Linked DNA regions of Caenorhabditis elegans. The protein of the gene in region 1 purifies or fractionates together with the protein of each later gene. This does not show direct contact. Each region holds a gene or a part of one and is shown in the gene's direction. Other genes may lie near its edges. The genes, in order: twk-37 and deps-1.

What was found.
Region 2: the proteins of twk-37 (region 1) and deps-1 fractionate together in Caenorhabditis elegans (co-fractionation; one large-scale study listed by BioGRID). This does not show direct contact.

The regions. Positions count from the first base shown.
Region 1 is NC_003279.8:6,268,735-6,273,418, reverse strand, and holds twk-37 (Potassium channel domain-containing protein), read left to right. Parts: upstream 1-1,885; 5' UTR 1,886-1,908; coding exon 1,909-1,937; intron 1,938-1,983; coding exon 1,984-2,043; intron 2,044-2,363; coding exon 2,364-2,548; intron 2,549-2,596; coding exon 2,597-2,691; intron 2,692-2,746; coding exon 2,747-2,833; intron 2,834-2,911; coding exon 2,912-3,041; intron 3,042-3,156; coding exon 3,157-3,322; intron 3,323-3,404; coding exon 3,405-3,663; intron 3,664-3,720; coding exon 3,721-3,858; 3' UTR 3,859-3,999; downstream 4,000-4,684. Other genes in the region: C10G11.8 (AAA+ ATPase domain-containing protein), read left to right, coding at 238-1,140, 1,182-1,406; oac-9 (Nose resistant-to-fluoxetine protein N-terminal domain-containing protein), read left to right, coding at 4,386-4,551, 4,604-4,684.
Region 2 is NC_003279.8:504,542-509,685, forward strand, and holds deps-1 (P-granule-associated protein deps-1), read left to right. Parts: upstream 1-1,931; 5' UTR 1,932-1,935; coding exon 1,936-2,046; intron 2,047-2,097; coding exon 2,098-2,204; intron 2,205-2,260; coding exon 2,261-2,475; intron 2,476-2,523; coding exon 2,524-2,684; intron 2,685-2,735; coding exon 2,736-2,867; intron 2,868-2,912; coding exon 2,913-3,164; intron 3,165-3,213; coding exon 3,214-3,354; intron 3,355-3,402; coding exon 3,403-3,507; intron 3,508-3,556; coding exon 3,557-3,790; intron 3,791-3,840; coding exon 3,841-3,950; intron 3,951-3,996; coding exon 3,997-4,216; intron 4,217-4,263; coding exon 4,264-4,335; 3' UTR 4,336-4,430; downstream 4,431-5,144. Other genes in the region: Y65B4BL.4 (Dolichyl-phosphate-mannose--protein mannosyltransferase), read right to left, coding at 965-1,064, 1,119-1,230, 1,279-1,508, 1,552-1,671; Y65B4BL.7 (uncharacterized protein), read right to left, coding at 4,431-4,673, 4,721-4,882. UniProt on the Caenorhabditis elegans protein: Component of P-granules which is required for P-granule formation and integrity in adult germ cells. Promotes the accumulation of glh-1 mRNA and localization of pgl-1 to P-granules. Involved in RNA-mediated gene silencing (RNAi) in the germline.

The DNA.
Region 1 (4,684 bases):
GTTCATCCCTAGAGAGCAAAGATGCGGAATTTATCTAACTCGAGGTCTTTAACACTTCATAAAGCCATAGCTTGTAGTAAATGTAGTTTGCAATCTATGACGTCATCATTACACGAACTTCAAATCGTTGTAGGGTTGGAGTAGTAGGATAGACGTAGAGAATTTTGTTTTGTTTATGTCAGTTGCGTAGGGATCCTATGACTGCAGTTAAATGGTTAACAGTTGTTTTCATTACAGAAAGAGTTCATCACTCGTCAAACAAGCCGTCATGGTCGCCCTCTTGCTGTCCAAAAACGTCGTGAACAGCAATTAGTTCAAAGTCTCCGAGGAACTCCAACCACATTGGCTCGTGTCCACGAGCTTTTCGATGATGAGAAGCATGCCGTTGTGGTCGTTGAAGGTTCGAGACGTGAATGGTACGTACCAATTCTCTCGATCGTCGACAAGGACTTGCTTCGTCTGAATGCCCTCGTCATGGTGAAGGCTGGTGGAATGTTCAAAACAGTTCCAAGTGCAATCGTTGGAGTTTTGGATGACAAGATTGACAGCAATGCGATGGGACATAAAGTTGAGAAGACACCAAAAGAGACATTCGATGACATTGGAGGATGTGAGAGTCAAATTCAAGAGCTGAAAGAGTCTGTGGAACTTCCTCTTACTCATCCAGAGTACTATGAAGAAATGGGAATCACTGCTCCGAAAGGAGTTATTCTTTACGGTGAACCTGGAACTGGAAAGACGCTTTTGGCGAAAGCAGTTGCAAACTCAACATCTGCAACATTCATCCGTGCAACTGGATCCGATCTTGTTCAGAAACAAAGTGGGGAAGGTGCTCGTCTTGTTCGTCAAATCTTCCAAATGGCAAAGGAACAGGCTCCATCGATTGTATTCATTGATGAAATTGATGCAGTTGGTACGAAAAGATTTGATACTTCTTCACGTGGAGAACAAGAAGTTCAACGAACTCTTCTTGAGCTCTTAAATCAATTGGACGGGTTTGAAAGCCGTGGAGATGTCAAAATTATCATGGCAACGAACAGAATCGACTCGCTGGATCCCGCTCTTATCCGTCCTGGACGAATTGATAGAAAGATTGAGTTACCAAAACCAGATGAGAAGACTAGACAAAAGATTTTCACGGTTAGTCAATTCAACATTTCTTAAATAATTTTTATTTTTAGATCCACACCTCTGGAATGACGATTCAGAAAGCTGTCACCTATGAGAATGTATTGGGAAAGGAGAAGAGCATTAGTGGAGCTGAAATCAAGGCGGTTTGCACGGAAGCTGGTATGCTGGCTCTTCGTGCTCAACGAAAATGTGTCGGAACGGATGACTTTGAGAAGGCTGTCAAATCGGTTATGCTGTCGAAGAAGGGCGGAGCACCAGAAGGATTCTTCTCTTGACAATCGGAAATTCAATAAAGTACAAACGAGTTTACCCTAATGAACCTTTCTTCTCTTACAATGCCAGTGCAGATGTTTTTATGAACATCTGTAGTTAATTTCTTTGGTCTTTCTATGACCATAGACTGTTTGTTTTCGTAGTTTCTTTCCCTTCCAGAGCCTCAATTTGAAGAATTATGTTAACTTGATCCGAGGCGTTTTGAATACCGATCTCGAGTATAAATATTTTATTGTTTCAATGTGTTACTGTTTAACACAAGATGAGATTTGTCGTATACACTCAAATAGATACAAAAATAAATATCCAAATTTGTTTAAAAAATTTCAAACTCATTGAGCTCGCCAAGTTTCTTGAAAAAATTGTTTACGTACAGTTTTAAAAATTATAAAATTATTAAATACCACCATAACCAAGAAACGTGATATTTTCTGAGATGGCCAAAACTATTAAAAATCGATTTTTTAAAAGTCAGTTCTAATTTTTGGAGTCAATATCGTCCCAATGGTAGCATCAAATAGAAGACAATCGAGGTTTGCAGAATCATTGTTTTCATCTAAAAAAAACTACATTTTTCAGTTCAGATTCAATACCTTCAAATCAAAAATCACACAGCTCTAACCATCACACTTCTAATAGGTGAGTATAACTACAATCCACAGAAGAAAATTAGTTTGTAACCCACATGCTCGACATTTCGCTCCGTGCGATTGAAAGCTGGGAAATCGCGAAAATCTGCGACGATCTACGATAGCATGCGAAGAAATGCGCGGAAAATTCGAAACTAGGGGTAACCCGCAAAGATGTGCGACAATGTGCGAGAAAAAGCTGAAGCAAAATGTCGAGTTTCTGTATTATCTACACCAGGAAAATATAAAGACGACAGAATAGCTGTCAAATCTTCTCAAACAATACCCACTGCTTCACCACTGTCAATCCAAACTGCAATAGTCTTTCAGCGATGGAATGCAAACTCACACGGATCGACTTATTAATAAATTTATAAAGAGGCAAATGGAAAAATCTTCACCAGAAACTCAACATCTTGTCAGAAAGCAATCTATTTTAAAATTTGTTGAACGAAAGTCTAGAGCGGAAAGACCGAAGCCAACGAAATTACGAACAATTTTGAGAAAGATTCGAAGTGAGGATTTGGTTTATATTCTGCTTAAAGTAATGTTTCAAATTTCAGAATTTAATACAATAATTGCATTTGTGGTTCTTGTTGCATATATAATTGGTGGAGCTCTCTTGTTTTGGCAGATTGAATCGAGATCTGATATGAATGTTTGTAAAGCTTTTGTTTCTGTTGCAGATATATATTCATTGATAATATTTTCAGATTAATGAGTTCAAAAGAAATATTCGTCAGAAATCAATACACATCTACAATTCAATGAAAGGTAGCAAGTGTGGAAAATTGAAAAAGGTTTGTGAAAGTATTTCTGCATCTCTTTCAATTGAGCATACCCGGAAAACGCCTCGATACAATTTTCATCTATTTCAGGCAGATAATGAGTTGAACAACAATTGTATAAAAGAAATTTTTGACCTACTCTACGCTTCAAACCCTCCAAAGCATATAGAAGAGTTTCTGGATGGGCTGGCTTATGTAATCACTTGTATTACGACAATAGGTATGACTCGGGATTAACAAGTAAAATAGTATCAAAACTGATTTCGAACATTTTGAAAAATATTTTTAAAATTTTCTCCCGAGGTGTCGTCTAATCATTCTATTTTCTATTTCAGGGTACGGCGAACTTGTCTGTCACACAATTGCCGGTAAATTGGTTACTGTAGCTTATGGTATTATAGGAATTGCTCTAACACTCTACGTACTTCGCAACAATGGAAAAATAACGTTGAAAATATGCAATTTGACACTCAAAATTTTTGCAATTTGCGTTCGAAAATGGTAATTTAACATTTAAACATAAATAACCTCTTCTCAACTTTCCATATAAAATCTTTATTTGAGTTCATTATTTAGTTTTCAGTGGCAAAAAGTCGGCAAAGTATAAGATGACAGTACTGAAAGCTTTTATTCTTCTTGTCACATTTTGGGGCTTCGGAGCACTTGCAATTGCTGTCTATGAGGAGTTTGTATTCTATGATGCCTTGTACTTTTCTTTCAGTACATTTTCAACTATTGGATTTGGAGATTTTGTTCCGTCAGGTCATATCTCTGGAACTATTATTTGTGTATTACACTTTATCGATTTATCACTGATTTCAATGGTTTTAGTTCTCGTTCATGTAAGCTGTGAAGATTCCCTTGTAAGAAACCAAGTGTCTAAAGTTTACAAATTTCAGCATTCGATGGAAAACAGATTTATGAGAGTTTTGGAGCTCTTCGATGAACGGCATGCTACCGACACTTTAGAAACAAATATGATATCACCTGGTGCTTCTCAACGGAAACTTGCTGCAACGACTACAGCGAAGGAATGATTTCGATCCAGTGATCATAATTGATATCAGATTATTCTCAAAATTTAAAATATCTCTTTGCTTATTACAATTTTTATTGATATTCTTTTTGTGGTTTAATTCTTATTCTTTTTCGTCATTAAGAGAATGAAGAAATTACAAAAAGCTTCTTTTTTTGCACAATGAAAGGAAAAAAAAACTGCCCATTTAGAGATTTAATCCGGTAAAGGCTTGACAGAGGCGCCTCACACCCGCCTTTTTATTTGACCTCCCAGCGCCGTACCTATAACCTCATGTGCAATTTCTCGTTACGGAGTTAATTTTAGTAGCGCATTCGTGAATAACCTATTTGGTAATTGAATTTTTAATCTCTCAAACAACGGTGTTTGTGGCTAGTTAAAAAAAATTTATTGTTCTTTTCTTTCTGAAAATTATTTTCCAGGAATACGTGCAGCTCACGCAAATACCGTCATTTGTGAAAACGCAATCATTAATTATCAAACAATTTATTTTCGATTATCATTTGTGAAAGTTTTCCCATGAAAACAATGAATCTCGTCTATTTGATACTTGTCTCGTTTCTACCCTCATCAGCCTTCGTCAGCTGCTCATTTACCAAGTCTGGAAAACAAATTCTTCAACAAATTTTTGAAGGCGATAAAGACAATCACACCAAGTTCAACAAGTTTCAAGAACTTTTCAAAAATTTCGAAGGCAATTTCAGCTTTTTTTTAAATGAAAATGTCACTTTACGATATGTTTTCAGATGATAGTTTTTGTATCAATTCGCTCGGAAATATTGGCAAATCTGCATTGAAATTTCTGTCTGAATGCTCATCTAACACGT
Region 2 (5,144 bases), 5.8 Mb from region 1:
CATGCCTATGGTACCACAATGACCAAATATCATGATTAAAAAATTCAAAAAATTTTTCTAGATTTTATATGATTTTTTGAAAATCGAAAAAATCTCAGTTTTTGCCTAATTCCTATTTGAATTACCGCCAATTGGATTTGTTCGATGGAGCGCGCTTGCACGTTTTTAAATTTATTTATTTTATTTATTGTTATTTTCCACCGATTTTCAATGTTTTCGGTGTATTTTTGCTTGAATTTTAGAGAAAAAGTTAAAATAAATGCAAATTTCCGATTAAAAAATCACTGAAAATGCGTAAAACTGAAAAATATGCTAGTTTCAGGTTTGTTGTCGTCGGAACTCATTATTTTACAGTTTTACGTATTTTTCACATTTTTAAACACTTTTTAGCAAACATTCTGCATTAATCTTGCTTTTTTACTTCTCTTTCCGATAAAAATACACAACTAATGAAGAAAATCAGTGACATAATAATAATAATAATAATAATAATAATAATAATAATTTATTACGCTCGCTGGGAGACGTGAAGGAATACAGAATACAAAAGTTATCATTGTTCGCTTGAACTAGAATTGGTGCAGTCGGGCAATCGTTTCCATTCCATTAAAATGTTGTCCTTGTCCTTGCGTTGTCCTTGCGTAGACTCCCCCATAGTGGGCGAGCGATTCCCGAGTGAAAATAATCACGGAATGAAAAAATAGAAGAAAAATAGAATAAATTAATAAAAAAAATAATGCAAGCGCGCTCCAACGAACGAGTTCAATTGGCGGTAATTCAAATAGGAATTAGGCAAAAACTTTTTCAGATTTTTTCAATTTTCAAAAAATCATATAAAATTTATAAATTTTTTTTGAAGTTTTTTAACGTGATATTTGGTCATTGTGGTACCATAGGCGTGTTTTAAAGCAATTTCCCCACAGGGTGTAGTCCACATTTAAAAATTAAAAATTAAAAATTCTACCTAACAAAATCGAAAATTTCAGATTCTCCTTGATTAAAAGCTTTATTATTGAGTAAAGAGTCCGCAGCGTCCACACGGAGAGCGGGTACAAGATGGAAATCTGAAAATATTTAGGATTTTCAAGGGAAAATATCGATTTTTTTTAGCAAAATACCACAGAAATTGCGGATGGAATGAGTAGAAGAGCCGGGTTGACTTTCCGGGGAAAGTTTCGACGTGTGATGCTCGTCTCGGAGAGCCTCATTCCCAAGAATCCGGTTGCGATGCTGAAGAAAATCGATGGAAAAAGTCTAAAATATCCCCTGAAACCCTACCTAAAAATCAGAAAATACGAGAAAATATTGATTAAATTCCGAGCCGGCACATAATTCGGGCGGATCAGCACTCCATTGAAGTTTCGAAACGTTTCGCCGTTCCACTGAAGTCCATCGAAGCCGGGAACGGATGGCGGCTCGAAATGCTCGTCGACACTCATTTGACTGGCCCTGTAGAGCCCGATGATGGCAATGGCGAGCATTCCCACTTCCACATGGAATATCAGGCTCTGAAAATTAAAATTTAGCTTTTAGACGGAAAAAATCGATTACTTTGACATGAACTTGATCGAAAAGCCAGCGATACGGGTATTTTCGGTGCAGGCGGCCTGATTCCGGACGTGCTCCTCGAGATATATTGGAATTTGTCGAGCGGATACTAATATCTGCCATTTTTTCGCTGAAAAATCAGAAAAAATAAGTTTTAAAACAGAATTTTAATGGAAAAATAAACGGAAAAATTCGAAACTTTTTTTTCCGCCATTGAACACCAATGTGCCTTTAAGGTACGGTAGCTCTTCGTGGTGAGACCACTGCGCCGCGCATCTGATTTCTCGTGGGAAATTTGTTTCGAATCCTACGTTTTTTACAGATTTTTCTTTTTTTTCGTTTCGCTCATCATTTTTTTGTTGCAAAAAATCCAATTTTCAGACAAAAATGTCAGAACGCCAATCCAAATATTTTGACTATCAAGGTATCGTCATTTCCTCCACTGGACAAGATAACCAAGATTCGGAGACGGACCTCGTTTATCTCATTCAAGCTCATGTACGTGAATTCCCTCCGTTTTCATATTTAAAATAATAAGCTCGTTTTCAGGGAAAAGCGGCCCCGAAGAACATCATGTACGGTGTCTCCAAGTGCGCATTTGTTCCAACAAACTTGGAGAGGAATTTCGATAATATCGAAGAGGCAAAAAATCTTGAGTCAGTATTTATTTGATTTGAGCCCATTTTTAATCTGTTAACACTTGAATTTTTAGACGTCGATCCAAAATCCCGCTAAAGTTCGGTGAAGTCATCCTATGGAACGAATCGGACTGTGATCACGATAAGAGGATAATCCTTCATATCAAACGAGAAAAACCAATTTATGAAGCGTCTTCCAGCAGAAATGGACTTATTTTGAAAGTCGGTGGCGTCATCCAGCCCACCTCAACGACCTCGTTCTGGACGCCATTATGCACCGTCACCATGCGTATGTTTCTTCTTGATTTTCGTCTCTCTAACCATATATTTATTTCAGCAGAGACAGAGGCGACCCGTGCGGAGCCAGACGTTTGGCTATACGCCTGGATTCGATTCGAAACTACCATGAAGAGTGGTCTAGATCCTTTCAATATGACTGCAACATTCGAATCGTTTGACAGTTGCGATCCATCCGACCAAGCACGCGTCTGTGAAGCGGTATTTGCTTTTTAAAAATTTTTTACGGGATTTTGAACAAATAACTTTCAGCCATGGAACGCAGGCTCTCCTGACTCTAAATTCGGTGTTTGGCGCCCGGATCCAAAGCCTGCTGATAGCGACGACGAAATTGATATCGAGCCGAGAGAAGGCTGGCACTTGCCAGAAGACAAATGGGCCGAGGTTAAGGTTGCTTTGTGGATTCTCGTTGACAATTTGATTTTGCAGGTCATCAAGATGCAGCTTGGCCTGTATGTCGGCGAACGCCTACTGATTTGCAAAGAACTCTCGCAGTTCGACTTTATTATCCCACTGCAGAAGCCATTTTCCCGAGGAACGGACAAGACTTTGATCTACCCAGCCGTCGGAGAATACTTTCATTTCAGTGCTATTTGGTCGATGCAGCACAACGGTTTTCTGATCTATGAGCTTCAGCCAGTTCCACTTCTCAGACAGCATGTAACCTCTGTCAACGGAAATGTAAGTTATAATATTGATTTTTTTGTCCAGAACATAATTTTTATTTCAGCTCCTTACCCGCGTCGTTCCTGCCAGTATCAGAGGTCTCTTCGTTGACAAGGAGGGCACTCTTGGATTGATTGATGACCCACACCATCTTCTTTCATTCTTCGAGTTTCATCCAGCTGGTTATGAATTCTTGAAGGCTATGGTAATCATGAGTGGGTCTTATTTTGAAACAAACGCTTTCAATTTTCAGGCCGAAGTTCGTGCTGTTCGAACTTCAGAAAACAAATCTGTCCGTTACCGCATTGTTCGTACATCGGGAATGTCCATTTTTGAAAACTGGCTTCGTGATACTCAGGTCTCTAAAGTTAAATTAAACTCGTCCTTTTCACCCCTGAATTTTTCAGTTCGTTGTTGGTCCAGTCAAAGGAATTCGAATCAATGAAGACACTGTCATTTGTGCCAAACATCCGAATGTCTACTTCAAAATCCCCAATAACTTGAAGGAAGGAATCCCCATTGGCGGAGGAGTTCAATTCGTTGGAAAGCGACAAGCTGGAGTCGACAGTGAAATTATGATCACCGAATGTTCTCCATGTCCAGCGTTCACTTGTAAAAATTACTCGGTCTCTGGTGATACGGTTAGTCTTCAATTATTTAATAGTTTTTATTCTATGAGGAAAATATTCAGCGCTTGTTCCAAGTGTACTTGAAGCCAAATTGCGATCATGAGCAGTTGGCGGAGAGTGATTCGATGGGATTTGTGGATTTCAGAGAGTTGGAGACTCCATGTAGAGGAAAGTGAGTGTGTCAGGATTTGTAAAAATAATTGTAACTGAATTTTAAGGTTCCTGGCATGGGTCCGTGAATCCATTACTGTCAATGATTGTCGCCGTGCTGCTACCATCATGGAAGTATGCTCGACAGCCATCTGTCCTCCGTTGATTGCAATGAGCGCGAATTCGAGCAGAGCAACATCGGCCAGAACTACGCCAGCTGGAAGTTCCATTGGATCCAGATCATCAATTCAATCAAGAGCATCTGCAGCTACTTCAGTGAGCTCAAACGTAAGTTTATTTTTAAGGTTGGAAGATGATAAAAACAAGTTTTTCAGCGATTCGTTGGCCCTTCAAGCCGCAGAACTCCATCTGGTACTCCACAAAGCTCAACATCTTCCAGGGTCTAATTAAATATATACGCATCCCGTTTTCCCCCGTATTTGTGTTTCAAATGTTCTGCTCATTTTTAATCTACCCGTTATCCAACCAAACATTTATTTATTTAAACTTCAAGTTCCACCACCATCCCATTCCGCACAACTTGTCTCTCGTAATTTTCTCGTGCTCTAATGAAGTTGTGGTAGGTTATTCTAGTGAATACACCCATGTTAAGCAGCGAATACATCCAGAAAAGTCCCAACAAGCCGGCAGCGAGATACTCCCCCCAAAATGATGGTTGATCGGTACATCCAAGATAGGGTAGCATCGCGATAGACGTGAGCAAGTTCGTTATGCACTTGAAAAACTGAAATTTCAGAAAAGATTAGGTGTATCAGAAGGTTAAAAACAAACAAATGACATATAGATGAACGAAGCCAGTGATGGAATCGGATTCCGAATACGAGAAGCCATTCCCGGAGATACTGTGATAAGAATCTGTGTGATCGAGAACACAATGAGCACACCCACCGGGAACATGAATTCCATGGAAACACGGAGGCAAAGGTCACAGTACTGCAAAAAATGCGAAATTTTGGCGATTTTTGCTCTAAAAAATGCACTGGCCGGGTCTCACCACGACAAATTTTTGTTGTCAGTTGAATGCCAATAGAGTGTGCGCCTTTAAGGAGTACTGTAGTTTCAAACTTTTGTTGCAATCGATTTTACAGTTTTCCCGAGAAACAAAAGTTTGAAACTACAGTACTCCTTAAAGGCGCACACACTCTTTCCGCATTCAACTTAACAAAAGGTTGTCGTGTCGAGACCCGGCCACTGC